Pelodiscus sinensis: one gene and its partners. The protein of the gene in region 4 interacts with the protein of the main gene of each other region in a pairwise test. Links are inferred from orthologs where the notes say so. Each region holds a gene or a part of one and is shown on either strand. Other genes may lie near its edges. The genes, in order: ARHGAP12, ABL2, ARHGAP17 and TRIP10.

The links.
Region 1: the proteins of TRIP10 (region 4) and ARHGAP12 interact in binary tests that used the Homo sapiens proteins (3 or more experiments, as listed by UniProt). The two-hybrid records come from large-scale screens. The link is inferred for Pelodiscus sinensis from reciprocal best matches to the Homo sapiens genes TRIP10 and ARHGAP12.
Region 2: the proteins of TRIP10 (region 4) and ABL2 interact in binary tests that used the Homo sapiens proteins (3 or more experiments, as listed by UniProt). The link is inferred for Pelodiscus sinensis from reciprocal best matches to the Homo sapiens genes TRIP10 and ABL2.
Region 3: the proteins of TRIP10 (region 4) and ARHGAP17 interact in binary tests that used the Homo sapiens proteins (3 or more experiments, as listed by UniProt). The link is inferred for Pelodiscus sinensis from reciprocal best matches to the Homo sapiens genes TRIP10 and ARHGAP17.

Annotation. Positions count from the first base shown.
Region 1 is NC_134712.1:229,556,150-229,563,365, forward strand, and holds the start of ARHGAP12 (rho GTPase-activating protein 12), read right to left. Parts: upstream 3,015-7,216; 5' UTR 2,794-3,014; intron 1-2,793. UniProt on the Homo sapiens protein: GTPase activator for the Rho-type GTPases by converting them to an inactive GDP-bound state.
Region 2 is NC_134719.1:59,804,136-59,811,146, reverse strand, and holds the start of ABL2 (tyrosine-protein kinase ABL2), read right to left. Parts: upstream 3,010-7,011; 5' UTR 2,817-3,009; coding exon 2,642-2,816; intron 1-2,641. UniProt on the Homo sapiens protein: Non-receptor tyrosine-protein kinase that plays an ABL1-overlapping role in key processes linked to cell growth and survival such as cytoskeleton remodeling in response to extracellular stimuli, cell motility and adhesion and receptor endocytosis.
Region 3 is NC_134726.1:38,940,703-38,948,167, forward strand, and holds the start of ARHGAP17 (rho GTPase-activating protein 17), read right to left. Parts: upstream 3,020-7,465; 5' UTR 2,873-3,019; coding exon 2,820-2,872; intron 1-2,819. UniProt on the Homo sapiens protein: Rho GTPase-activating protein involved in the maintenance of tight junction by regulating the activity of CDC42, thereby playing a central role in apical polarity of epithelial cells.
Region 4 is NC_134729.1:11,915,761-11,922,937, reverse strand, and holds the start of TRIP10 (cdc42-interacting protein 4), read left to right. Parts: upstream 1-4,169; 5' UTR 4,170-4,329; coding exon 4,330-4,437; intron 4,438-7,177. UniProt on the Homo sapiens protein: Required for translocation of GLUT4 to the plasma membrane in response to insulin signaling. Required to coordinate membrane tubulation with reorganization of the actin cytoskeleton during endocytosis.

The DNA of each region.
Region 1 (7,216 bases), on a different chromosome or scaffold from region 4:
GTACTGGATACAGAAGCAGCAGTGCAGGGTGGCAGTCTGATCCTGGATGCCAGAATCCCCATGCATATCAGCTCCCACATGCCTCCTCGCACTGCTGCCTCTGATACAGTGCAAGGCAGCAGCCAGCTTCCCACGGAGAGGGGGTGTGTGCAGGATCCAGTGCACACCAGAGCAGGCTTCTGGCATCACATCAGCTGCCAGGGAGCTGGCAGCCACCTCACATAAAACCATTTTCAGCAGTTACAGTTAGCCAATTACATACATTTTAACATTCCTACTACAGACTAGCATGAGTTTAAACTAATTTTAAGTTACACCTTTAGTTAAAATCTGTGTAACTTTCAGATAAGCCTCAAGTAAGTACTGCAGCTCAGCTATTTCCCCAGATTTCACAGTACTTCCCATCTTCAAATATCAGCACTACTCTGCACAAAGAACAAAGATTTCCCCTGTGACTGCCAGGCTGCTGTCATAGCAATTCACTGCATTTCTAAGCTACAAACTGGACTCCTTTCCAAGGGGTGTTTGAAGAATATCAGAAATGGTTTTACAATTACTTTGACTTTTAAGAATATTTTTAAGAGACTAGTATGACATTTTAAATTTACAAAAAGCTGAAGTTCAAACATTTCACTTCTCAAAAAGGTTAACTGAACCACTAAAAACTAAAAGCAAACAATAGCCACTGTTTATGTGAGCCACACAAAAACAATGGTTTGGTTCTTGTACCACCTCTGCAATACATATTTCATTAAAAGAATCAGTCCCTACAGCTACAGCAAATACTTTAACAGTGTTGCAGCACAAACCAGTCAGTCAGTCATAGAAACTGTATTTGAGAACATTTGTCCTAAATTCTTACCAACAGAATGCCAGATGAAACAAAAAATTTACTCAATTGTCTCCACATAGTAGTTTTTTCCCCCCTTAAGTGTGTCCTTGCAACTTCTCAAAAACATTTGCTACAACAGCATTTCTTGAATATGGTTCCAAGATATACTTATTTGGGGACAAACTTAAACCATTGTGAAATTCTTGTTATTTAACCTTTTATTCAAATTTTTCTGAGACACTTTCTTATTTTTCAAGATCAAAAATAAAAAAGTTAGCTAATCATTCTTTCAAGCTTTTCAGTACATTCAGTGACTAAGGAGAACAACAAAGAAGCCAACAATATATTCCAAATTTATAAGTATTCAAGTTTGGAGTAAAATTTGAAGAAATTTCTACAATATCAAAGAGCTACTTTTTTTTAATGTCATCAGAGAGTACCTCAAGTCCATACTTTCTAGAAGACAATTTCTCTCACATCTGCGCTGTTAGAAATGAATTTCACATACTGAAGTTTCATCAGAACAGTTTTGCTTGACAACAAGCATCAGTTATTTGTGCAGAATTGTAGGTAAAATCATGTCAAGCAAACATATATATATATATAACACAAATAGCACACATGAACATTAGGGACTTTCAGGACCATTAATAAAAGGTTTAAACCTTTACCCCTTCCTCCAACATAACCATCATCAGTATTAAGAGACAAATGCAGTTTCCAAGCAGAATGAGCCCGTCTGCCCTAAATGTTTATATTTGCTTAAAAATTAAAAGCATAAGTAAAATATAATTTCCTGATAACTGTCTATTGGCTCATCTTAGAGACTTCTGAATACATGATATATTTTAAATCATTGTCAAAGCAACTTTTAAAAGCCACTTTTCACCAACTGTATATGTTAAAGCAGGCAGCCCCTTGCCTTTCACTATGCACTATTGTTATATTGTTGATTAGAATGACCAGCAATAAATAGCTGAGCAAATCTGTGTCTGTACACAGTGATTAAATTATACAAACAATCATTCTAAGCATTTTAGGGTGTGTTAGAGTCCACATTCAAAATGGACATCTGAGAAATACAGTAATGGCTACCATCTCAACTAGCACTGAAGCAGTTTTGATCTGAACCTTAGGATTCATTTTAACAGGTAAAACAAAATTACAGGACATATTCATAGCTCCGTTAACTAATTTGTGAGCAGGCACATCTGCAGTATATACATACACAAAGGTTTTGAAAAACAAACCGAACATGCAGTCTGTGCAATGACCAACCAACAACAACAACAAAAAAGTCACCCACCCCACTTCATATTTCCAACACAAGAGAGAAAGTCGTTCTCAGTCAACTTTATACCCAGGGCTATGCAGCCTGCTTATCAGGACAGGCATTGGTACTGGAAGCACGGGTGGGCGGCAGGGGCTCCAGCCCCCCGACTTGAAGGGGTTTCCATTATACAGATTTACAGTTTGGTTCAATGGCTCGCAGCACCCCCAACTATAAAACCTGCTCCAGCGCCCCTGAGCACAGAGAAGGCAGGGGTAGCAGTGCCACTGTCGCCCCCATCCCAGCCAACCCCAGGAGTTATGGTGAGTACGAACAGGCCAGCGGGGGTGAAGCAGCCCCTGGATACAGAGCAGGACGAGCACAAGCCTCCTCGCTTCCGGGCACAAGCCAGCCCCTGCCAGGGGCCAGGAAGAAACTTCCCCTAGGACTCCCGCCCTCGGCGGGGGGGAGGAGGGCAAAAGGGACTCAGGCTCCTTCCAGGAAGGGACTCGGGGCACCAGCCAAGACCCCCTCCCGGCCCAGCCAGCTTGGGGGCGACCCTGGCGGCGGCGGCGGCAGAAGCAGCAGCCTCCCGCGAGCCAACAGGGTCACCCGCCGAGACCCCGCCCCCTTCACTGCCCGCCCCCCCGGCCGGCGCCAGGCCTTGGGCCCCTGCTTACAGCCACCTTACCCGGGTAGCCGCCGGGTCCGCTCCCGCCTCAGCGCGGCCACAGCCGCCGCCACCGCCAACCACTGCCGCCGTCTCCGCCTCGCGCTCGCGCAATGTCAGCGCTCCCTCGTCACGTGCCGGGGGAGGGACGGGGGAAAGCGCGGTGACGGGCCAGGGAGGAGGCACCTGGGGGGGAGGGGGCTACGGGGAGAGGGAGAAGCTGTGTGGGGAAGGGAGATGGGGGGAGGAGCAGAGCTGAGGCAGCTGCGGGTGGGGGGGAGAGGAGGGAGCACGTCACAGAGGAGCTCTGTGGGAAGGGAGGCCGGAGAGAAGCAGCGTGGGAAGGGGAGATGGGTCTATTTTTATCATATGCTACATAGACGTGAGGGGTTATTTTTTCCATACACAACGTCATGTGGCTATAACAACTTTAGTCACTTCACCCCCATGTGTTTTAAGAATTTGTCAATTTAATCACTAAGCTTTGTGAGCTTGATTACTAAGACTTACTCTCTTATTTATTCTGATACGCATTGTTAAGCATCTTATTTTAGATTTTTTTTCCTCTGTTTCACTGCTAATTTTAACTTTAATGAGAACTGCCACAGGCTACAGAACTCACAAACATCACAATGTAGGTTAAATCCTTATTACTCATAAAAATCTACAGAAGTCAAAGAATTTTAAATTAACCCGACTTAAATAATAATATTATTTGTATGAGCACCCAGAAATGTGCTGGATGTTTCACAAAAGCCTGTGAAGAGCTTGAAGTCTAACTTAGAAAATGATGCAACAGATGTGAGTAAAAAAATCTAATAAAGGGAGAGCAGAAGAGGCATAACTGGAATAATTATAATAAGAAAGTATACAAAGAAAGGACTTGATTCCATTTATGTTGTTCTTTTTATTGTTAATTCCTCTCCCTTAACTTCTGGCAAGGCTGCAAAAGTTCATGGGAAGAATTTGAATTGTGTTGTAAATTTTGGACATAGAAGTTGCCATAGGAGAATAAATATTTGCAAATCTAGCTTAGCTTTCTAAATATATTTATAAAATCTTTTTTACTCTTTAGGAATTTAAGCCCTCACTGAAGTCTACTTCTCTGATCCTTTGTGTTGCTGAACAGTTTTCTTTGTTCTCTTCTCTATTATAGCCATGTATGTTGTCCAGACTTTGCAACTCTGAAAGCAAATGAAATTCATACTCTATCTTTACTGGTTAAACAAATGAATTTAAATTTTACTTAAACACAATTTGAATTTGATTATAGTAGTGATAAGCAACTTAGGCTAGTGAGTGAGCCTCCTTCACTTCAGTGGACTGCAAGATTGTCATAACCAATACAGTCTCCGGGGATAGGATAATTTTGCTAACTGCACTTGAATTTTGCTGGGTGTGCTAGTTGAACTATAGCAGCACTTTGGTTGGATGCCAAGAGAGTGAATGGCTCTCTCAGTAAATGTTGTGTGCGGTCAGCATACACCTTGCTTCACATGCCTTTTATGAGTGTGTCACTTTAGTAATACCAGTAGGGGAAAAAAAACTACACAGACAGAAGCCAGTGGAATTGGACAACCCTGTGTGTGGACAACGGTAAACAAAATGTCTTGTGGGCCATGCATAGAATCAACATGGGCTACGTTCAGCTTCTGGTCTGCAGGTTGTCCACCACTGGATTATAGCTAAATGGGATTCTAACACAACTGGATTCCTGGCTCAGCATGTACTCAGTGAGGCTATATCTAGATGGCAAGCTTCTTTCGGAAAAAGTTTTTCCGGAAGAGATCTTCTGAAAAAACTTCTTCTGAAAGAGAGCATCTGCACTGCCAAAGCTCATCGAAAAAGTGATCTTTTTCGAAAGATAGTGTCCATTCAGTCTGGATGCTATCTCGCATGTAAGCTGTGATTACTATGGGTGGAATGGCCACCAGGGCATCTGTGTTTTTTCCTCTTTCCTCTTCTTGCAAAAGAACTCCCTCTTCCCCGTCCACACATACCTTTATCCAAAAGAGCTCTTTCGGAAAAAGGCTTCTTCCTCATAGAAAGAGGTTTACCAATGTTGGAGAAAACTCTGTTCTTTTGATTTTCTTTCAAAAGAACGCAATTGCAATGTGGATGTAATTGAAGTTTTTTTTTTAAAAAACGGCTGTTTTTCTGAAAAATAACTCCATAGTGTAGACATACCATGAGTCTGGGCATAAGCATGATTTGACTTATGTGTGTGTTGCGGGGGGGCATGAGGGGGAGAAGACAGGCAGCTCTAATCAGACCACCAGGGCCATGTAGGAAGGGACAAATTCTGCTTTTTGCCAAGGTTTGCTATTTGGGCAGGCAACGACCCCTCTGACCTTTCCAAACTATACAATCATGCAGGTTTGTACTGGGGTGGCTAGCCCAAGCAACTGCCAACACCACTATAGCCACACTGCTGTATTTACTGTCCTAACTAGAACAGAGCTAGGGCTTATGGAATACGCTCATTGCTGCTGCATAGATATTCCCCCAGTGTGCATGGGGCCAAAAATATGTTAGAACAATGTACTAGTCTAGATAGCACCATCTAGACCAGTGTTTCTGAAAGTGTTCCATGGAATCATTTTGAGAAACATTAACTGGCCACCCCGATTTGTTTATTTACTGGCACCGCAGCCACGGAGCCTCACGGCTCCCATGGGCTCTGTTTCGCTCTTTGCAGCCAAGCAGAGCAGTGGGAAGATGTGGCCCGACCCACGCTGCTTCCCACAGCTCCTCTTCGCTACAAAGGACGAAATGACGCCAATGGGAGCCATGAGGCTCCATGGCTGCGGTGCTGGTGAATAACAAATGGGGGTGGCCAGTTAATGTGTTTCACAAAGTGATTCCACAGAACACTTTCAGAAACAATGACCTACACCATCCCTGATAGATGTCTGTCTAACCTGCTCTTCGATATCTCCAGAGATGGAGATTCCACAACCTCTCTAGCGTAGCGCAGAGTGTTGCTCACAACACTCCTGTTAAAGCATTCCATAATCATTTTTTCTTTTGGGGGGGGGGACAGTATCACACTGTTGACTCATTTAGCTTGTGGTCCACTATGACCTCTAGATGCCTTTCTACAGTACTCCTTCCTGGACAGTCGCTTCCCATTTTGTATATGAGAAACTGATTGTTCCTTCCTAAGTGAAGTACTTTGCATTTGTCCTTCTTAAACTTTATCCTATTTACCTCAGACTATTTCTCCAGTTTGTCCAGATCATTTTGAATTATGACCCTATCCTCCAAAGTAGTTGCAACACCTCCCTGCTTGGTATCATCTGCAAACTTAATAAGCATACTCTCTATGCCAATCAGTCCCAAAACAGACCCCTGCGGAACCCCACTTGTTATTAATGGTTCACAAACATGCTGGAAGGGCATAACTACTCTCTGAGAACAGTTATCCAGACAGTTATGCATCCACCTTATAGTAGCCCCATCTAAGTTGTATTTGTCTAATTTATTGATTAGAAGATCATGCAAGACAGTATCAAATGCCTTACCACATCCACCGCTTCTCCCTTATCCACAACACTTGTTATCTTATCAAAGAAAACTATCAGATTGGTTTGACATGATTTGTTCTTTACAAATCCATGCTGCCTGTTACCTAGCAACTTATTTTCTTCCAAAAGATGTTTGCAGATGATTTTCTTAATTACTTGCTCCATTATCTTTCCTGGCACAGAAGTTAAACTGACTGGTCTGTAGTTTCCTGGGGAGTTCTTATTTCCCCTTTTATAGATGGGCACTATATTTGCCATTTTCCAATCTTGTGGAATCTCTCCCATCTTCCATGATTTTTCAAAGATGATAGCTAAAGGCTCAGCTACCTCCTCTATCAGCTCCTTGAGTATTCTAGTATGCATTTCATCAGACTTTGGTGACTTGCAGACTAACTTTTCTAAGTAATATTTAACATGTTCTTTTTTTATTTTATCTTCTAAACCTACCCCCTTCCTGCTAGCATTCACTATATTAGGTATTTCTTCATCATCAGACTTCTTGGTGAAGACCGAAACAAAGAAGTCATTAAACAAAGAACTCATCTCTGCCATTTCCAAGTTTCCTGTAATTGTTTCTCCCTCTTCACTGAGCAATGGGCCTACTCTGTCCTTGGTCTTCCTCTTGCTGCTAATATATTTATAGAATGTCTTCTTGTTACCCTTCGTGTTTCTAGCTAGTTTGAGCTCATTTTGTGCCTTTGCCTTTCTAATCTTCCCCTGCATACTCATCCTTTGTAATTTGTCCTCGTTTTCACTTTTAATACGACTTCTTTTTGATTCAGAGATCATGCCAGATCCCCTGATTAAGCTAAGGTGGTCTTTTGTCATACTTTCTACTTTTCCTACACAGCAGAATAGCTTGCTTTTGGGCCCTTAATAACGTCCCTTTGAAAAAGTGCAAACTCTCCTCAGTTCTT
Region 2 (7,011 bases), on a different chromosome or scaffold from region 4:
AGACATCAGTGTCAGAGCCTGGGAGAGCAGGAACTGATGCTGGGCAGAGGAGTGACAGGGGACATAACTTGTGGCTCAACTCCACAACAGCAGAAAGATCTCTTTCCTTTCTCCCCCTTCTGGCAGTTCAGGCAAGTTTTCTGGGGCATGAACTCTTTTACTCAGTGTATGTAACCTAGCACAACAGGACCGTAAACTTAGGTATGGCCTTTAGTTCCTAATGCAATATACTAAGGACGTTAAAACACAATTATCTGGCTAATCGTATAGTCAATACAATTTGTATCAACTATAAGATTAGTGAATAAGCGCTACTGTGCAGAACCGCAGCAGAGGTAGCTCCAGCAGCCAGCTGCAAAGCCACCCATGCTGCTGCTCTGCATTTTAAATGTAATAAAAGTCACGACATTTAAAATGCAGAGGAGCAGCGAGCTGGGACTGCTTGGTCCCAACTCGCATTGAATCCAGCAGCCTGGGTGCCCAGCTCCCTGCTGGGATCCCCCCATTCATACAGGAACGTTACTGGATGTTCTCCTTCATTGGGAGCCAGGGAGAAGTGCACAGTTTGTTGCATTCCTCAATGTGTCTGGGGAGCACAGGGGGCAGACCTGGACCTCCCCCAGCTGAAGTGGCCATGGACAGGCACTTCTCACCTGGCTCCACACTGCTGCAGTGAGAGGGCTGTCCACTCCCCCTAATGCAGCCTGAACCCCCCATTCCCAGCCCCACCCCAGATTTAGCTGAACAAAATTAATTGAGTTAAAGACCCCAGCAACACTGGCACTGGGTAATCTTCTAGTTATCTAGTATAATATACTGTACTTCCTGTGAATTTGCTTTCTATGACCAGCACTGCCTCTTATACTTTACAAAGTTATCACTATCCTTCTTTGCTACCAAAACACCAAGGAGAGGTACTTTGTTATTAAAGGGATAACTTAGACTGTGACATCAGTCTTTCATAACAGCTCTACCAGGGAAATAAAGATTTTTGGTTTCAGCATGAAATTGAAGCATTGGTATTTTTAACTACACCTGCCCCCAAGTCTCCCTGTCAATTTCAGGGTTTGCAGTAATTTTCCTACTTTTAATAATTTCTCTTTTGATGGTGTGTGAAAGACCCACGCAAATAAGGAAAACTAATTAACTGTACAGAGGAAATAGTGAAACTGACTATACACTGGCACTGGGTCAATACAAGATCCAACTGAATATTTTCCTCTCTAATCTTTTTTATTGAATTTAACCTTCAGCAACAGCAGCAGACTTGTGGAAAGAAGCTACTTTTTTTTTTTTTAAGTTGACAATGTCCTGAAGTTCATAAACTGTTTAGAATCTTATCAATACATGATGTATATTTAGAAAGTGAATTTATATTGAAGGTTACACACTGTCTCTGCCACGTGGTAGGTATCACTGATTTACTAAGCTGTGCAAGTCAGCTGTCATAGGGGATGACTTTACATTAAAAACATGTAACCAGCAGCAGTCCAGTATCTTAATGCATATGCACTCTCTGTTGGGCTCAGAAAGAGCTAAGTTGTCAGAAGCAGTTTTGCCACATGAACACTGGAACATGATTGCTTTAGCTGAAATAAAAATCGATAATGCTCTCAGTAGCAAATTCAGGTCTTCAAATTAAAACAACAACAAAAAGCACCACCATTACACTTCAGCTCCTTGCACTCTTACTTTGTTTACCATATTTTTCAACCTTCCAGTGTATTATAATGGACAAAAAAGGCACAGAAAAATTATAAAGGTACAGTATTTGAGACGGTTGGCTTTTTAAGAGGATCTTTTTTCCCCCCCTGTAACCTCACTTTCATAGTCAGTATTTTTATTACTGTAAAGTGAAAGGAGGGGGCAAATTTGGACTTCGCTAAGTCAGCTGATGTACCGACTATTACAGCCATGCCAAGAACAAAACAGCCTGCTCCATAGATCCTTAGTAATGAGAAAGCCATGTCAGCAATAAAGGGCAAGACTAAGTCAGAAACGTGTTCAGTACTTATCCCCTGGAACAGACAAAGGTCTGACTATGTGGGGCTCATCCCAAAGAAGTTCACAGAGGTGTTGCAAAGGTAGATAGCGTACTTCGCTCTGTGTCTATTTTTTATTCATATTTGTCTCCATAAGCCACCTCCTTACCGATAAGGAAACAGCAAAAAAAAAATCACTGCCCTCTGACACAGCAGCTAGGCAAATGGGTGGAAGTTTCTGTAGCAATAAGAGCTTTGTAGGTGGTGGACTTCAGAAGGGAAGCATCCTCTCATCGCTCGCCTTCCAGGGAATCTGATTGTGCAGGCACATAGAGCCCTGGATGTACCCTCCACCCCGACCCTACGTGCCTCCCCATCCCCGCTCTGGCAGAAACCGTTCGGGGAGCCGCGCCAGTCCCCTCCCCCCACAGGCCGCACGCCACCGCAGGCAGCGATGGGGAAAGGGGGTGCATGGGGCTGCCCCCCACACGTGCCCTCGCAGGCAGCGATGGGGGAGGGGCGGGGTGCGGCTGCCCCCGACTGTCCCTCCGCAGCCGCGGTGCCTTCCCCCCGGCCCCTCCTCTCGTTTCCCCGGCAAACCCTGCCCCGGCGGTCCCCCGGGGCGCCCCGTGCCCAGCGGCTGCCCCCGCCCTCCTTACCGTGCTGGGTGAAGATATTGAAGCCGCTCTCCGCCGCGCGCCCGGCCGCCTCCCGCTTGCGGCCCGCGGGCCTGGGCGCGCTGCTCCCCCGCGCTCCCCGGGGCTGCTGAGGCGGCGGCGGCTGCTGCTGGAGCCCGGCTCCCGGCTCCCCGACGCGGCCCACCTGCTGGCCCATCCCCGCGCTGCCGTCCTGGGCCCCCGCCAGCCCTCACTCACATGCCGCCTCCGCTGCCGGTGGCCTCCTGCGCCCGCGGCCCGGGGCTCCCCACAGGGCTGCCCGCCCCAGCCCGCCGCGCTCCGGCCTGGGACTCACGGACTCGCCCCCTCAGCCCCCGCCGCCATCTTAACCACAGAGCTGCGGGAGAGGGGACAGAGCGGCTCCTAGAGACCCACCTCCGGTCCTCCAAGGGTGTCCTGCCACCGCCAGCTCCACCCCCCGCCCCGCCCTGACATCACCCAGCCGCCTCTGCCCCCTCCTTGACACCCCTGCCCCGCCCTACGTCGCCTAGCAACGCCCGGCCCCGCCCTGACATCACCCAGCCTCCTCTGCCCCCTCCTTGACACCCTTACCCACCCTATGTCGCCTAGCAACGCCCGGCCCCGCCCTGACATCACCCAGCCTCCTCTGTCCCCTCCTTGACACCCCTGCCCCTCCCTACGTCGCCTAGCAACGCTCGACCCCGCCCTGACATCACCCAGCCTCCTCTGCCGCCTCCTTGACACCCCTGCCCCTCCCTACGTCGCCTAGCAACGCCCGACCCCGCCCTGACATCACCCAGCCTCCGCTGCCCCCTCCTTGACACCTCTGCCCCTCCCTACGTCACCTAGCAACGCCCGACCCCGCCCTGACATCACCCAGCCTCCGCTGCCCCCTCCTTGACACCTCTGCCCCTCCCTACGTCACCTAGCAACGCCCAGCCCACCTACCTCTGCCCTGACATCACCCAGCAACCACACACCCCTCCCGCCTCCTCCCTGACACCCCATCTCTCCTTTCCCCTGCCAACCCTTTTCCCACCCTGCACTATCCCCTGACTGCCTAGTAACGACCTGCCCATCCCCTGCCATCCTCCTCTGGGTCCCCTGAACCCCCAGCCCACACCGATTAAATTAACCCCCTTTTCCATCCCCCCCTCTTGCCTTTCCACCCATTCTCCACCTACAGTGTCATCCTGACTATCCCCCACTGTCTGCTTGACAGCTCGGTGTTCTCCACTACCTACTGTTATTTATCCCCACAGCACTACCCTGTTTCTCTCCTGTCCCATAAATGCTCTTTGTGAACACAAGCCCTTCCCTTGTTCTGTAGAAATCTGACTGAGATACATGAAATACTGCTCACCATGCATGCCATAGGATCATTTCATAATATTAGGCCTGGGCTAAACCTACAGTGAAGGTCAAGCTAGCTCCATCGCTCAGGGCTGTGAGAAATGTCATATTCTGTGTGATGCTGTTAGGTCAATCTAATCCCAACTGTAGATGCAGCTAGGTCAACAGAAGAATTCTTCCCTCATCCTAGCTACCTCCTCTGAGGGAGTGGATTTATTTAGAAGCAATGAAAAGCCCTGCCCATCACTGTAGTAAGTGTCTACACTATAGTGGCATGATCGCAGTTATACTGCTGTAGAATATGTACATACCCTTACACTCTCAAAGGGGGGGTCCTCTTCTACTTTTTCATTTCCTTTCAACATTTGGTCAATTTTAATGTAATTTTCATTAGTAGTCATGCAAATACTTATTATATCCCAAAAGGTCTAAAAATTCCAAATTGGCATATGTTTGACCCAGAAAGCGTACCCTGATTATATGAGAAATTAAATGTGATTTCCCCACCATGACCTTAACAGAAGCAAAATGCAGGACAATGTAGCACTTTAAAGACTAACAAGATGGTTTATTAGATGATGAGCTTTCGTGGGCCAGACCCAGGAAGTGGGTCTGGCCCATGAAAGCTCATCATCTAATAAACCATCTTGTTAGTCTTTAAAGTGCTACATTGTCCTGCATTTTGCTTCAGCTACCCCAGACTAACACGGCTACATTTCTATCATGACCTTAACAGAAATAATCACTAATAAAAACAGACATCTTAACATTAAGCACAAAATTATACTGAGGCATATAATGGACAAATTTTCAACAAGCGTTGCGGTTACATAAATATATTAAGTAATGTTCCAGTTACAAACTGTAAGCATTTGAAAGTATGGAAACTAATAGATATGGAAAGCCCACAAAAGGAGGAGAGGGAGTGACTACTGTGAAAGAGGGGTTTTGTTTCAAATTTTGCTGTTCCCCTTTATTTTTCATTTGGCTAAAGCTGGCAGGATGGGAGGCACAAGGGGAAAGCTCATTTATGTAAGAGAAAGCATTTTCTTAGAGGCTGGTTGAAGATTGTGCAATGAACCACTGTAAAACCTAAGAATGACTTAAAATTTCAGCACTTTCCATTCCAAGTGTAGGCACACTTAAATATTTACAAAACATAAATGAAAAACATTTTTAAAAATAATTCTCACAATTTTCCTCCTGGGGAGCAGGGAAGGGAGGAAAAGAGATTCACACATGAGAGATGCTAATTACATCACTTCAACTTCTGGAAAGTACCCAGATGCCATGTTGATAGGCACAAGAGAAGAAACTTGAGTAGAGCTAAATATGACTATCTACACTAAATTAAGACACAGTTAATTATTATTCATATTAAACTTACAGTCATAGTTTCTATGATTCACTTAGAACAAATTCAAAATTAAATTATATCACTTAAAAGTCTGGGACCTCTTACACTGGAAAGATCTGAATATCTTTCAGATCAGTTTAGCCCATTCCTATTTGGAAGTGAGCAATTTTGAAATGAAGATGCAAAATAATTCATTTTATCTTTGCCTAAAATGTTATTTCAGTGCTTCTTGCTTCTTAAAAGGTGGTTGTACAGGTATTTTAAAAAGTGACTATGTAAGCACTTTCTAACTTAACAAACTGGTCCTATTTGTGTGTTTACTGGAGATGAATCTTATAACCTTTGGAATATGCTTTATACACACACACGGGAGGGGCTGTGCCCCATGTTTGCTATGCTCGCCAACTCCAGAGAGCCTATTAAACTTGCACTGATTATATAGAAGTGAACAAATGAAGATGTATAGAAAAACTTAATTGGTCTATTGCTCACATACTAAATGTTATAGACAGATGTACAGACAGATCTCAGTTTCACAGTTGGTTCTGGTTGAAGCAGAAGTAAGCGAGACGCTGAGACTTCACTTTCAAGTAGGCTGATGATGTAATTCAGTTGCACGGCAGGAAAAACTTTTTTTATATACAGAGGGAGATAAACATATGCCTAAAGTAATAAGATATATATAGATATATAGATTATAACATGTATGTTTTACTTCAATTTGCATGAAGAGACAACACAGATAACCGAGTGAGCTGGATTCTATTTACCAACATCCAGTCACTGACTCTGGCTTCCAAAGGGTTGCACAGGTAGAAAAGAGGTCAGAATTTGAAGATAATAGGACAGTCCAGGTATTTGTTGGCCTGTGGAATCTTTTATTGGTGATGGCACATGTGACAAGGGAAAAAAGATCAAGTTTATTTTCAGATCTTCTATGTGCAGGGCTGGTAGTTAAAAAAAATCTTTTAATTGTAAACTGAACACATTTGCTATGAGAATTGTTGCAAGTCAAAAAAATTAAAACTCCACACTGACATTTACAGAGTCACATTTCAGAGTAGAACCCCACTTTAAAATTAGTAGCAATAACAGCTTTCCTACTGCCTCTCATTCATAGATCTCAGAGCACTTTCCAAAGGACGTTTATTAGTATTTTAAAAGAATATGCCAATGTTGAGAGAGATTTATTTCTGGAGGAGGAGGGGTCCAGAAGGGTATCCAGCATTATTTGTTTAAAACAGAATTTTTATTCCTTAGATCTCATGACATCACAGGATATCTTTGCATAACTAGCTTGTGTTAAGTAATATGCTGATGCCACAAGACGTGGAGCCACAGCACAGAAACCTCTTACTGAGATGGAGTCAGATCGAGATGATAACAGCCCATTTAATATATTTTCAAAGTGTTTACTATTTTATTATAGATAGATAGATAGATAGATAGATAGATAGATAGATAGATAGATAGATAGATAGATAGATAAAATGTATATAATACTTGAAAACCATGCAATATATTGTGCCTAATTAGCTTCTTAATAGTATCACTGTAACTTGGGTAGCAAGTGCTGGGTTGATGAGGCAATTAGCTTCTTAATAATCTAGTAGAGCCAGAATGAGAATATGAATAAGTATTCTTAAATTATAATTATTTTTCTGCCACTTTATCATGGTGT
Region 3 (7,465 bases), on a different chromosome or scaffold from region 4:
GTTCTAGGGATGTGGCTGGTTCACTGGCCACCTGCAACACTGTGGGCGAGGGCACTCCTGTCCAGCCAGCCTCTTGTGGGAGAGGAGGCAGCTCCAGCCTGGCCAGAGCAACTTCCCTCCCACCCAAGCGGTTAACTGGTTAAAGATAACATGTAACTGATTTTACATGCCTACATTTTTCTATTAACTGTACAAACACTAGATATGATGTCTACCCCCAAAGAGCAAATACCTTAAGATGAGATGTAAGATGAAGATTGGGGCAGGAAAGCAAGAGCATGGAAGGGGTTTGAAATAATTTATTAAAACAAAATCTTGAGATAAGTACCAGCTATCACTGTCTCCCCCTCAAGCCATCATTAGTTGACATTTCTTATTTGTTTCATGTAGAAGTGGATTGCCAAGAGAGCACACATCTCTTACAGGTTACTGAGAGTGCAAACAAAAGTTGAACCTTATTCCAGACCAAACTTTTAGCTCCAAACCCCCCCCACAATTCAAACAAGACATAATTTACTCTAAACACTACAAATATATTTTAGAAGAACCCTAAATCACATTTCAGTATGTACAGATGACACCAAATTATGCTTAAGTACATGAATATTGCTTTACAATAAGCAGCAACTAGGCCCAAGACCTTCCAAAAGATCTGAGACAACAAAACAAAACTCTAAAGCTATGTCTACACTGACGGGTTGTTACGCCAAAAGTATGCAAATGAGGCTAAGTATGGAATATCGCTGAGCCTCATTTGTATACCCAATGAACCGCCATTTTGCGGAAGAGGCTCTTACGCTAGAAGGAGCTGTCTACACTGCCCCTTCTTGCGCAAGAAAAACCCTCTTGCACAATGCCCCTATGCTGATTATTTTCAGGAATAATGGCATTGCACAAGAGGGTTTTTCTTGTGCAAGAAGGGGCAGCGTAGACAGCTCCTTCTAGAGCAAGAGCCTCTTCCGCAAAATGGCGGCTCATTAGGTATGCAAATGAGGCTTGGTGATATTCCACGCTTAGCCTCATGTGCATACTTTAGGTGCAACAACCCGCCAGTGTAGACATAGCCTAAGTTAGTGGCACTTTGGTTGCTACAAAGGCCTGACTTCTCTGCCAAAGACTACCCCTTATTTATGCAATCTGAGTTTTGCTGAAAAATATCAATCTTAGAATTACTACAGAGAGATTATAAATAAAATTTAGCAAAATTATAGGAAATGGAAGTGAGAAAGTTAAAATATGAACAGGAAGTGTACAATGCAAATCATTTTGTAGGAACTTTGTGTAGCCCAACTTACAAATCAAAGAACTGTACTGCCACAGTTACAGCCAATCCAAGTGGTAAAACAGTCCTTGCCTTTTTGCATCAGTATAACATACCTTCAACAGATTAAAAGTTTTTGCTTTCTTGTTCAAATTATATTACTGAAAAGCAATATATTGATAGGCCAAACACATATGAGAAGCAACATTTTACACAAGTTTTAAACTCACAACACACTAGAGATGTCAACATTTAATTACATGAAGGAAATATTTGATCTTCTGCACATTTTTCTGCTTTGGCTAACAAATATAAACAATCGCACAAATCCCTGAAGTGACACTCTATATGTGAAAGTCCTCGATAACATGATACAGAGTAACATAAATATCAGGATTTTTACATGCCTAATTTCATGAAGTAGCATTTCCAAAGCCACTTTCTGTATTGACATAGGAGGATAATGGTAGACAGATTGACTCTCTCTAGTCCAGCAACATCCATGGTCCAGCATGATTTTAGTTAGCTGGGTGGCCATTTATCACAGCTTTGGCCAAGTTTCCTAAAGTAAGTCTCAAAGTTTTTTACAGCCCCCAAACTTGGCGTTCGGTACTGTTCTTTAGCTCTAATTTACCCCTAAACGTCTTCTAAGACCCTATCAAGCAGTGGAAGGGTCGGTAATGCTGCCGGACTATACTGGCCTCCCATGGTTCAGCAAATCCTCTGGCTCAGCACTGGTCAGATCCCGAGGATCTCCAGACTAGAGAGAGTCAATCTTTATTGATTTGGAAAGCAGCAGATAAAAGTCTTAAGTGGTGGCCAGAAGAAACGAAGTTCCTGAAGTTACTAGAGTAGTGCAACCTCACAAAACACTGTCCTTACAAGGAAACAGACACAGCCTGTCCATGAAGTGGAGGGGAGCTGTCTGGTGTAGTTGCTTTGTGGATCTGTCCTCTTCCATACATTTCACCAGGCCAAGTTCTAACAGCCGCCCCCCCCCCTCACCTCGCGGGGCAGGGGGCGGACCCCGCCAGCCCCCCCCTCACCTCGCGGGGCGGGGGGCGGACCCCGCCAGCCCCCCCCCTCACCTCGCGGGGCGGGGGGCGGACCCCGCCAGCCCCCCCCCTCACCTCGCGGGGCGGGGGGCGGACCCCGCCAGCCCCCCCCCTCACCTCGCGGGGCGGGGGGCGGACCCCGCCAGCCCCCCCCCCCTCACCTCGCGGGGCAGGGGGCGGACCCCGCCAGCCCCCCCCCCCCTCACCTCGCGGGGCAGGGGGCGGACCCCGCCAGCCCCCCCCCCCTCACCTCGCGGGGCAGGGGGCGGACCCCGCCAGCCCCCCCCCCCTCACCTCGCGGGGCAGGGGGCGGACCCCGCCAGCCCCCCCCCCCCTCACCTCGCGGGGCAGGGGGCGGACCCCGCCAGCCCCCCCCCTCACCTCACGGGGCAGGGGGCGGACCCCGCCAGCCCCCCCCCTCACCTCACGGGGCAGGGGGCGGACCCCGCCAGCCCCCCCCCTCACCTCGCGGGGCAGGGGGCGGACCCCCCCGCGGCTCGTACCTGCCCACGGTCTGGTTGGCCAGCAGCCGCATGCGGTTGAACTGCTTCTTCATGGCGGCGGCTCCGGTCTCCGCCTCCGGGGGACCCGCTGCGGCCGCGCCCGGCGCCTCCCTGCTCCAGCGGCAGCGCGAGCCCGGAGCGCCGCGCTCAGCTCGCACCCCAGCCGGCCTCCCCCCCCGCCGGAAGTCACCGCCACTTCCGGCTCCGCCTTCCCCGGCTGGCGCGGGTCACGTGGGTGCTCGCGTCACGGGAGAGGCTCGCTTGCGGCGAGTGGGGGGGGGGGGACAACAACATCCGGGCTCTGAGACGCGGAACTGGCGGGAGGTCACGTGGTGGGGTCTGCGGGCTGGGCAGTGATGGGGGAGGGGCGCAGCTAACGCCACGTGCCCCAGAGGGAATCCTCACGTGACCCCTCCCCTGTGGCCTAGTCCCAGCCCCTGACAGACGGGGGGGGGGGGGGGCCACTCCCCCCCCCGCCATGGGGCCTGCCCCCAGGAATGGCTCCAGCTCCCCTTCCTGGGAGGGGTCAGTGGGGCGCTCTGTGGTCCCCAGGCTGGGCCCCGGGGCGCTGGGGCGGGAGCGTCCCGCGGATGCAGCCGCCTCGTGTCGCCGAGCGTCCGTCTGCGGCGCCTGGTGCGGGGCGGTTGCCGCGTCGTTCGTCCGGTGCTCCGGGGCCGGAGGTCGCCCACGGGAATGTTTGGATTGGCCTGGTGGTCCGTGGACTGAAACGAGTCGAGAACCACGGGATTAGCCGCTGTGGGAAGGCAGGGCCCTGGGACAGCAATGTTCCCTCCCGACTCCCTCCTTTCATGTGCGGAATACATTTTATGTGCACTGAGGCACGTGTGCATGTGCACAACCCATGAAGCCGGCGTGGGTGCTCTGCTAATCAGCTGGACAGCATTTGAATCCTCGGTGGCCTCCCAACCGCTCAGCTTACAGGGAACACTGGGCAAGATGGACCTTTATTCTGATCCAGAATAGCCATTCTTATGTTCTTCATAACAAGGGCATTGTTTGCTGCTTTTTGCAGCAATCACAAAAAAATAATGGACATTCCATGTACTAAGGGACTGTTGGCAAGGTTAAGTAGTAGCTTTTAGCAGGGTGCAGTAATGCTTATGGCAGAAAGTGATTGTGTCCTATGCCTAGGTAGAATTCAGTGAGGCCAAACGTGATTACTCATCTCTGTTGGAGTTTGCCCAGGACACTAGGGCTCAAGATCTGCCAGAAGTACAATCTTTATTATACTTTAAACAAGTATTTACCAGCTTATTTTACCCCCTAATTTTGCACCACTCTCTTCAGTATTTGCTTTAACAAACCAAATGCATTCGCTTTAGTACTGACTCAGAGGGAAGCCTGCGAGCTACTATGAAACATCAATATCACAACTTACTGCATAGTGGGTTCCTTTCCTGTGTCATCTTTTGGTAAGAATCTGTATTAAAAAATAGAAAAGTAAATAGAAATCTGTTGTAATAACCTGCTTTTACAGCAGTATTCCTCTATGGCTCTCAAAAACATTTCAGGTGTTCAACAGACATTGATGAAATCCTATGAAGCAAGTGAATATCTCCACTTTACAGATCAGGGCAGACAGCAAGACCCACAACCAGAAATATACCCATAAATACTGCTTGTTCTCCAAGCCATCCTGTCGTTTAGCCACAAAACCAGTGTTCTCTTAGGTGACATTAGTATTATTATTAGTGTTATAGTAGTGTTTAGAGGCACCACCTGAGACCAGGGCACCATTCTACTGGTTATTTTAGTAAGAGAGTCCCTGAAGGGTTTAGAAAATCTAACAAAGAAACACAAAAGCGAGTGCCCTGTCCACTAGGCCACTCCAGATCTCATCCCACCTCCCTACCTTCAGGACATCCCTTATCCTGCCTTCCTAATATCACTGTCTGCTCCATCCCTGGGAAAACTGGTGTCAGGGTGGGGGGGGACCTCAAAGAGAAAGAGTGGGAAGTGGGTTGCTCAAGGTTACCCTGCAGGTCAGGAGCAATACTGGAGTGAACCTAGTCTCCTGATTCCCATCCTAGTGTCTTATTTACTTTTGCTTCCCAAATATAAAGTGAATTGTGAACAGGTAGGTAGTTTTTTTTAAATTTAGGGTGTGTCTAGACTACATGGCTCCCTTGACGGAGCCGTGTAGATGAGCTTGCTAGACATAGCAAAATGAAGCGAGGCATAAAGGATCTGACGAGGCATAAAGGATCTGACGACAAAGGGTTCTGGGGTCGGCTGATACCCGTCTAGACTACCGTGCTGTGCCGACAATCAGCTGATCGGCACAGCATGGCAGCCATTTTGATGTAAATGAAGCAGCGATTATTTAAATTGCTGCTTCATTTTGCTATGTCTAGTAAACTCATCTACATGGTTCCATCGACGGAGCCATGTAGTCTAGACACACCCTTAGAGACTGCATTATCCCCCTGCAGGAAACAAAGAAATCCCAGTGATGTGCAATGCAGATAGATTCCCAGCACAGTCACTCGTAATCAGTGGAAACTACTTGTGTACTGTGTGAGAACCATGCCGTAAAAAGGATTCTGGAACATAAAAGCTTTAGTGGGATCAGCTCTGGAATGTATCCGGCCATGCTGATGACTAAAAGTTTGCAAAATTGAAAACAATTTGAGAAAACTGATTTTTCCTCTCTTGTGAGCTGGCTTCTGGAGGATGAAGCTGGTCAGTCCTATTTATTAAACATTATTATTTAATTTGTATATTGTGGTAGTGTCTGTAGGCCTTCCAGGTCACACTCCCCTGTGCGAGATATGCTACAGACATATTGAAAAGGATAGATATTGCTCCAAAGAGTATTCAGTCTGAAAGACCCACAAGTTACTGTGTCTATGCTGCAGCATGCTGGTAACCTCAGCCTGCAGGGACAGGACTTTCCTGCTGGTGGTTTCCCTGAAGCAGGGGTCGGCAATCTTTTCATGCCAAAGTGCCAAACTACATCAACATTCAGAACAAGTGGTCAAAGAGCCGTATAAAAATGCCAATTTGCATGACTGAAAATATACAACTTAATAATACTAATTATTTACATGATGATTAATAATAGCATAAAAGAAACATTGTACTCAAGGACTTTATTTAATGGGACTTCTGCTGCTGCATCTTTTCACGCATTTCTTTGAAGTTTATGTCATAACAGGTCAAATTCAGCTTCTTGCACACATTCAGACTGTCTTCTGTCAATATTGAACAGAAATTACTTTTGATGTGATTCAAACTAGAGAAAGTATGCTCACACATATAAGTGGAGCCAAGCATTGAAAGTAAGGCCAAGCTGACATTCTGCATGGTGTAGTATGTGACAGGAAGTTATTTCCAAGTATGTAGAATCAGATCATCATTGTGCTCCAATTTCTTTGTGTCAGCTCATTTTTGTCAATTCTGCACGTTGTTGAGCAAGGCATTCTAAATCACAATTCAGCTTGGTGATTTTTTTCCACCCAGATATCCAATTCCTCAGAATCTGCTATTTTCATTTCCAAATCTCTGATTGAGATGCCTGAAATGACTATCAAATCTAGTTCTTCAACAGACACTTTATATGGACAACTCATAAACTTAAACAGAGCACTGTGTTTGCAAAAGTCAACAAAACAAGTCTTGAATGCCATCAGGAGCTCAGAACAAAGCTGGCAAGCTGCTGCAAATCAAGGCTGTGATTTGGATTCTTTCTCTCATACGAATCACAAAACATTCATAATCTTTCAAAATGTGCCAATCTGCCCGTCTCGATATCTTTGATGAAGACAGTCAATTTTGACTCATATCCAAACACTAGCTATTGCAGAGTCATGATTGTATTTCCTTGCCCTTCTAGTTTAAAGTTCAACTCATTCAAATTACTGGTAACGTTGACGAGATAATAAAACCTGAGCAACCAGTCACTGTCTGAAAGCTCAGTGTGTTTGACACCCTTCATATCCAAAAATGACTTAATCTCCTTAATGCAGGTGGCAAAATGAGACAAAACTTTGCATTAATGATTAACCAGTGAGCATTGTGCATTAATAGATTGGGGTATTTGGAATCTATTTCCTTGAGCAGTGACTGAATTTGACAGTCATTCAGGGCTTGGGCAAGAATCCAATTGACAATGCAAATGACCAGTCCCATTACATTTCCGAGTTCAATTCCACAAGATTGCACACAAAGTGCCTCTTGCTGCACAATACAATGAAAGTTCTAAAGTGGGCGATTCAGATGTTCTGACAAAAGAGTAAGGAATCTCCTGTATTTGCTGACCATGCGAAGTGCACCGGCTGTACACGCAGACACAAGCTTATCCAATTGTATTTCTTTCTCGTTTATAATGTTCATCACTGGTAATATTGGTAATATCTCAATAATTTCTTTGTACACAGAATTTCCATTAATATATCATCCCAAAATACACAACCAATTAACATCACATCTATTGATGGTCTTGTCCAAAGCAAATGAAAAATAAGTTGCTGTATTGAAATTTTGCATTTGTTCCTTGTTGATTTGATGGGCCAATTTCACAGCTCTGTCATTAACTGGTTTTATTGATAATGGCACATCTTGAATTCTCTGTAAGATTTTGTCCTTGTTGTGAAACTCATGAAATAATTCATGACCAATTTTTA
Region 4 (7,177 bases):
GTGGCAGCCTTGTGGGAGGGCTGACAATGGCCGAGCCCCTGGGCACGGTAGGTGTGCGTGTGTGACGGCATGTTCCTAGAAGGGGCGGGGCTTGGGCGGAAGGGGCGGGGCTTGGATGGAAGGGGTGGGGTTTGGGGTAGTTGGCTCTTAGCACTACTTGGAGTGCACCTTGTTCCCCAGCCTCCTGCCAGGCCTCAGAGCTGCCCAGAGCATGCCACGTGGTGCTCTGGCGGCGATTTAAAGGGGCCAGGACTCTGGCTGCCATGGCCCCCTCATTGGTGGGGGCTGCAAAGCCTGGGGGAGGTGGGCGGGGAAGGAGGATGGACTAAGAAGAAGGGTAGCCTAGTGGGTAAGTCACTGGGGTGAGAGAGACCAGGCGTCAGTTATTGGCTCTGCTGCCTACTGCGTGACCGTGGGCAAGTCACGTCATGGCTCCATGCCTCAGTTTCCCAGCTGTAAGATAAGGGCTCTTCCTTTGGGCCCTTTTGAGCAGCTCTTTAGAGCAGGCACTTTCCCGCTAGGTGTGCTCACAGCGGGGCCTTGATCGAAGCCAGGTGCTACTGTTATGTACTACTAAGAGGTAGTCTGCCTGAGGAAATTGACCGGCTTAGCTAATCTGGATAACCGTCCCATGTGGACGCAATTCTTTCGGAAGAGCAGGAACTCAGAACATCCACAGCCAACCTCATTCTGGGGTAACTCCCCTGTGCAGCTGAGTCCTACCCAATAGCGTGTTGGCACAGGATAGTTTGGGGCAGCTCCCTTCCCGCCGGTCTGTGCTTTGGGGGACCCTGTGGCAGTCCTATGGATGGGCCTGGCACAGGGTGGCAGCAGGAGTCACTGCCCCCTCGCCAGAGCAGCCCAGCAGCCTCCTCTGCCCCACCCCGCCACCCTCCCCTCGCCCGCTGCGCTTGGCTTTTCTGAGGCAGCAGGAAGCAGAAGGCCCCAACCTCAGCGTACTTGACTCCTCGCCGCTGCTGAGAAGCGAGGCGCAGTGGGGCGGCAGGACGATGTGGTGGCAGGGTGGGGTGGAGCAGTGGGAATGCCCTAGGCTACCCCCCACCTCCCCGGACGGCCCTCCAGGTTTGTGCTGGAAGCTGGGGTCGCCCGGCAGGGTGGTGTGCCAGTCCGGAGCCAGGTCATGGCACCAACGCTCTCCCACGCTGGGCTGCAAACCCGTCCAGCCAGGCCACTTGCCAGAGGCTCGTACCAGTGCTGGGTCGCGCCCTCCCCTCCCTCCCCCTCCGGGCTAATAGCAATTTTGCTCTGGCTACGCCGGCACAGCTGGCATCAGGGCTACTCCCTGAGGTGGCCAAAGTAGGGATGTTAAATTTAAATTAATCAACTAGTCGAAGTCTATCGACTATTCGATTGGTAGATAAGAGCGCCTCTGCCTTTGAACTGTAGGAAGAGCCTCTTGCTACAGTTCGAAAGCCCCGCGCTCTCTGCCACTCCTGAGCCTTTGAAATATACATTTCAAAAGTCGAATTGCGGCAGAACCGGCACGCGGAGACTGCAAAGGGAACCATCATTGTGATTCTCCCACCTGCTTCTTTCAGGGCTGCTTTGGGCTGCCTGAGGGCCATAAGAGACCCAGTGTAAACCAGGCTCTGGCCCTGCCATGAGGCGTTTCCCCAAATGATGATGGGAGAGGAGGAAGCTGGGGTCACTTCAGGTGGCTGCAGTCTGAATGAGCAATTAGAGCAACTCCTGCAGGTCTCAGCTTCCAGGTTCCAGCCAGGCAGGATCAGGTTTCAAGCAACTTTTAGATTTTATTTTTAGTGTTGTGCGATGCTGCTTTTGCATTGGCTTCTCCAAATCTTGGTGGACCCCAGTTGTGCCTGCCTGCTCAAACGTCTCTCTGATCCCCTGGCTCTGAGTTTGTCTGCTCAGAAACGTTTGAAGTTTGACATGTCGCAATGTTTCTCTCCCCCCCCCCCCCTCCCCCTTTTGGCTTCTTGCTTTCAGTTCTTAAATCTTCTGTACACAAGATCAGTCCCGTCCTGAAGTCTGGGCTGTCTTATCTCTGGTCAGAAATCTTGAAAGTCATTTACAGGGAGTGGTAAAGGAACCTTTTTGGCTGTCTTTTAATATTAGTCAGTGGTGCTTGGATGAGGGTTCTCAAAGTGAAACGGATAACTCTGAAGGGAAGCAGAAATCAGTAGCGGTCGGAGGAGGGGAAAGACCGAGAATTGGGCCCATGGGCGAGTGTGGTTTTATTCAACGAGTCCGACTCAAGAGTTCTGTCCTCCAGCTGTGTTGTAGTCTTGCAGCATGATCTTGGGCGAGTCATTTAATCTTTCCAGCACCTGTACAACAACGTGAGCTTCGAGACGTCATAAGTGACTAAACCCGAATCTCTGACTTAAAATCCAGTTTCTTACAGCTCTGGTTTGCATTCACTCAGCCTGCAGATTGAAGCTGGGTTAGTCAATTTCACTGCTGTTACTAGTCTGTTTCACTTCCTGGTGAGCAGTGCCTGCTGGGCACTTATATGCATTGGTTGCAGACAATGCATGGAAAGAACTCTTTTCCACACACACTCACACACGGTCACAAAAGTTCCCTCTAATCTGTTCCATCCATGTGCGGATTTTTTTTCCCATTCAGGTGTGGAATAATTTTTTTCATGTGCTCTGGGGCACCATCAGTAGAAACAAAAACTTTGCTGCTGACATGCTGCTGGGCAGCCTTTGATTCTCTCCTGAGCAGTTACACAAGCTGTCAGGGAACAATGGTCACAAAACCATTTAATTTCTGCTAAATTGCCGTGAAATCTTTAAACGTAGTTAGCAATGTTGGATCTCCACAGCTTAGATGTTTCCCTTTGTAAGGGAGGTCTTGAAAGGGGTCAGATGGCAAGCCAATCATTGGAAGGGTGCCACCCCCCATTACACACAGCTGACCTGTGGAACTCCTTGCTATAAGATAATTAGCTACAACCTCAGCAGGATTTTTAAAAGGTATGGATGAAAGCATCCTGGCTTATAATAAAACAAAAAGCAACCCCCCAAAATGTAGGCAGGGCCATGAATCCTTCTGCCTTAGGATGGCTATAAACTCTTCAGAGAGCAGGGTAACGTGGAGTCTGCCTTGGGCGTCACTCCCTCTCCCCTTCTCATCCGCACACAGTCCTCTCGCCCGAGTGTGAGGGTGCTGTCACCCCAGGCTTGCTGGCTTGCCTGATGGCACCTCTTTCACTTGGGCTAGATTGCAGCAGTGCAGTGTGACACAGGCTAAAAATCACACCAGTGCTGCAGGTCTGAAGGTGCTGCCCCACAATTCCCCTCTGTGCCCTGGAGGACAGATGGATTTTCCCTTCTTTTTGCTGGGGGGGGGAAATCCTGGAGCATGCTGCAGAGACAATGGGGCGCGCCCCCAGGTGAAAGCAGTAATGGTGACTCATTGCTGTCGGGCTGTTCGCGCCTGCCCTGGCTGCTCCGCTCCTGATGCTGATCGCTCTGCATTGAAGACACCCCCTTAATCTTGGGGCCAGGCTCTTCTTGGCCAGTCGCTAGGCTCCCCATACCTGAGGGGTTTCTTGTGTCTCCCTCTAACGCATCGAGTGCTGCTGCAGAGACCGGGGTTTAGGGTTCGACCGATTGTTGCTTTTATCCAGCCTGGTGATTCCGATCTTCTTTTCCTCAAAGAGGCCATTGCAAATGTTAACCCAACCATCTCCTCGTCCAGGTGCTCGCTCGCTCCTCCCTCCTGTTTACTGTGGTTGTGCAATCAGTTGGGGGGGGCGTGTGTGTGTGTGTGTAAAGAATCTCTCTTCCCATTGCTGTGTAAGACACCTGCAGGGGAAAACTGGTGAAACTAACCAGAGTCGAGCTGAAAACAGGCCACCGGGTTTATTGCATATACCCGAGAGCCTGGTCTTTTTTTTCCTCATTGATTTGTATCATAGTAGCATTTGGAGATGAGAACCCCTAGCAGGCTTCTGCCGGCAGAGCTGTGTCCGCCCAGGCTGTGATCCGTGGCCAACAGCTAGGCTGGCAGAAGCCCCAAGTGTGGGTGCAGCTATTTTGGGAAAACTGGCACAGCTTGTTTCACGCGGGGTGGATCCAAGGCTGATATTGCTGCATCCACAGGAGCAGGGCTCTGCTTGTGAGGCGTGCCAATTTCCTAGTGTAGCTACTGCCTAAGAGAGCTCCAAACAGCTTCCATGCTAAGTCAAAAGGGAAGGGAGACTGAGGCCTGGTCAGAAGATGCCAAGGTCAGAGGCAAGCCTGGGTATTAGGAATGTAAAATCCTGGTCAATCAGTAAACCTAAGGTTTAACTGGTTCACTGACTAAGCAAGATCCGGGCAGGGGACTGCACCCAGCATGTGGGGCTCCTACCCCCAGCGCCTGTGCTGGGGCTTGCTGCCGGCTCCCGGCCCCTGTCCGCAGCAAGCTGGAGGCTGCTCCAGACCCCACTGGTTACTGGAACAGGTAAGCCTCCCCCTTTCCACATCCTTCCTGGGAATAGAACCCAGGAGTCCTGACTCTCTCATCTTATCTACCTGACCCATGTTGCCTTGGAACTAAACCTCTCTTCCCAGCTCCATCTGTCCTTCCCCAAGGGCAGACGGACCCTCTCCCCCTCCAGTCCAAGGTGCACACCCTCCAAGCGTGGGACGTTTCTCCATCCTCCCCTCCACCCTGCCATGGTGCCCCAAGGCCTGCGCTCCTTGGCCACCCGGTGCTAGGCAGAGGCAGAGGTTTGTGGCTCCATAGAGCGGTGTCAATGGCTGTAACGCAACAGCGGGAAGCGAATTGTCCCCAGCGTGAGCCGCCAAAACTCTGGCACGGCGGGGAGCTGATCTATAAGGACCCGAAGGAGCGGTGGCTTTCCAGACCTGAGCTGCCCTCCAGCCAGATGAATGGGGCGTCTTGGGGAACCCCTCAGTGGCTTCTGCTCTAATGAACCAGTCCCCTCCTTGTAAGGGCCGTTCCCACCTGGGGGAAACTTCCCCGTCTTGGAGCAGAGCCGTGGAGGCCTTGTCGGCAGTGGGGATTTGCCCCACTTCTACGGCCCTTGGTGTCCAGGCCCTCGTAAAGCTGCACCAAGCAAGGGGTTGGTATCCGGATTCTCAGTGCTTTGGGGCAGGGTCTGTCTCTCGCTGTGCCGGGCGCTGCACAGACACAATGGGGCCCTGGCCTCTGTTGTTCCTTAGACACTATTGTAAGAAATATGATGAGCCCCCCCGCCCCCAATCAAATTCAGGGTCCTTTCATATTTGATGCTGCAGAAACAGTCACCTAGGAGCTCACAATCGGACAGAGGGCAGGAGAGGAAACTGAGGCACCAAGAAGGGAAGTGAATTGGCAAGCAGCATGTCAGTAGTCGAGTTGAGAACAGAATCTGTCTCCTGACTCCTAATCCAGTGCCATAACCACTAGGCCCCACTGCTGGTAGACCACGTAAGCTGTCCTAAACTGAGCTTTGCAGCACTTCACTTCGGTCAAAAATCTGCTTTGCCTGTGTGCGCAGATGCCACGTGCATGTCGGTCTCCCTAGGCGGAAAAGGGCTTTTGGGGCGGGAACTCCTCAAAGCTTCAGCACCTGCTGCTTCCGGGGAGACAGTAAAAACGAGGCTGCCCATGTAATCGCCCGGCTTGGAGCTGCAGAAAAAATGTGGCAGCCAGGTCCCTTTAAAGAGCCCTCCTGGTGCAGTAATAGGATGTGTGTTCAGCGCCCCTAATCTCATTATTGGGCTTTAACTGTTGTTTAACCTTGGTGTGCTGATTTTTTAAGTGGCAGCCTTAAGGTGCTGCATGGCCTCCCGCCCCTGGGTAACAGCCATTAAAAGGGCTTTGGGATGGGAGGAGGAGAGATGGGGTGTCCTGTCTGAAGCAGCATTAAAAATAGCACCAGGCTTAGCAGTGCTGCATCATTCTCAAATGACGCCCCCTCCCCTCTGACACTGTTCTTGGCTGCACGGGGGAGAGAAAACGGTCATGAAAATCCCCAGCCAAAATCCCACCTCTGGATGATTTAAACCCTGACTCCTTGTTCCTTTCTCTGCAGATGAGCTGGGGGATTTCCCTGCTTGTTTTAAAATCCCCTGCAGGACGGCTTTTGGCTGCTCACCCCTGGTTAGCGCTTCCCTGGGAGACTGTGTTAGCGGGATTGGGGGAGGTAGCGGCCCCCTGACATTGACACACAGAGCCGTAGCCCCAAAATCCACTGCAGTGAGGGGTGTCAATCTGATGATGCTTTGTGTGGGGACACAAGTCATAATTCCTCTTCTTCCCCCCCCCCCCAGCAGTTGTAAAATCAACACTAAAATTAGCATCTCGCAAGCCACTTAACTTCTTTACATGATCCAGCTTGTCACAGTCAGAGGGGTGCTAACGTTTATATAGAAACCCCCCACTTTGTCTTGTCTCTTTCTCCACTCCAGAGTTCCCTAGGCTCCCAGGGTTCCAAGTGGTCCCTTATTTTCCCAGGAAAGGAACCAACTCTCTTTCCCACTCAAGTAGCCTGTGGAACTCATGGCCACAAGCTTTCACAGAAGCCAGATGCATAGGAGAGGAGAGTTTTAGAAAGCTTGTTCTGGAGATAACTGTTGGGTTTAGGTGCAAGCTTTCCATGGGGGCGAGTTGTCCCCTCGCTCAGGGGTAAGGCTGTGCTTCTGTCAGGTCTGGTTGCAGGGTGTCTAGCTGGAGCGAGTTTTAATCCAGCGGGGGTACGATGTATGGTGCAGCTGTGACTGCACGTGCTCAGCTGCTTCAGTGCAAACTTCTCAGGGAACCTCTGTATAGACCAGGGATGTAAGTGACTAGTTGGCTGTCTGATAACCTAGGCTTATTGGGTAGTCGAGTCATTACTCAACTAGTCGCTCCCCCCTTGCTGCCTCGGTATCAGAGGCAGCAAGGGGGGGAGGAGCAGGCTTAGAATGGGGGAAATGGCATGAGCCAGGCGGCTCTTACCATATTTAAAAAGCAGAGCCACAGCGAACCCCCTTATCGACTACATAAGGATATAAGAATGGCCAGACTGGGTAAAACCAAAGGTCCATCTAGCCCAATATCCTGTGTGCCAACAGTGGCCAATGCCAGGTACCCCAGAGAGGGAACACAACTGGTAATCCTCACGTGATCCCTCCCCTGTCACTCATTTCCAGAGAAACAAAGGTTAGGGACACCATCCCTACCCATCCTGGCTAATAGATGATCCATGAATCTA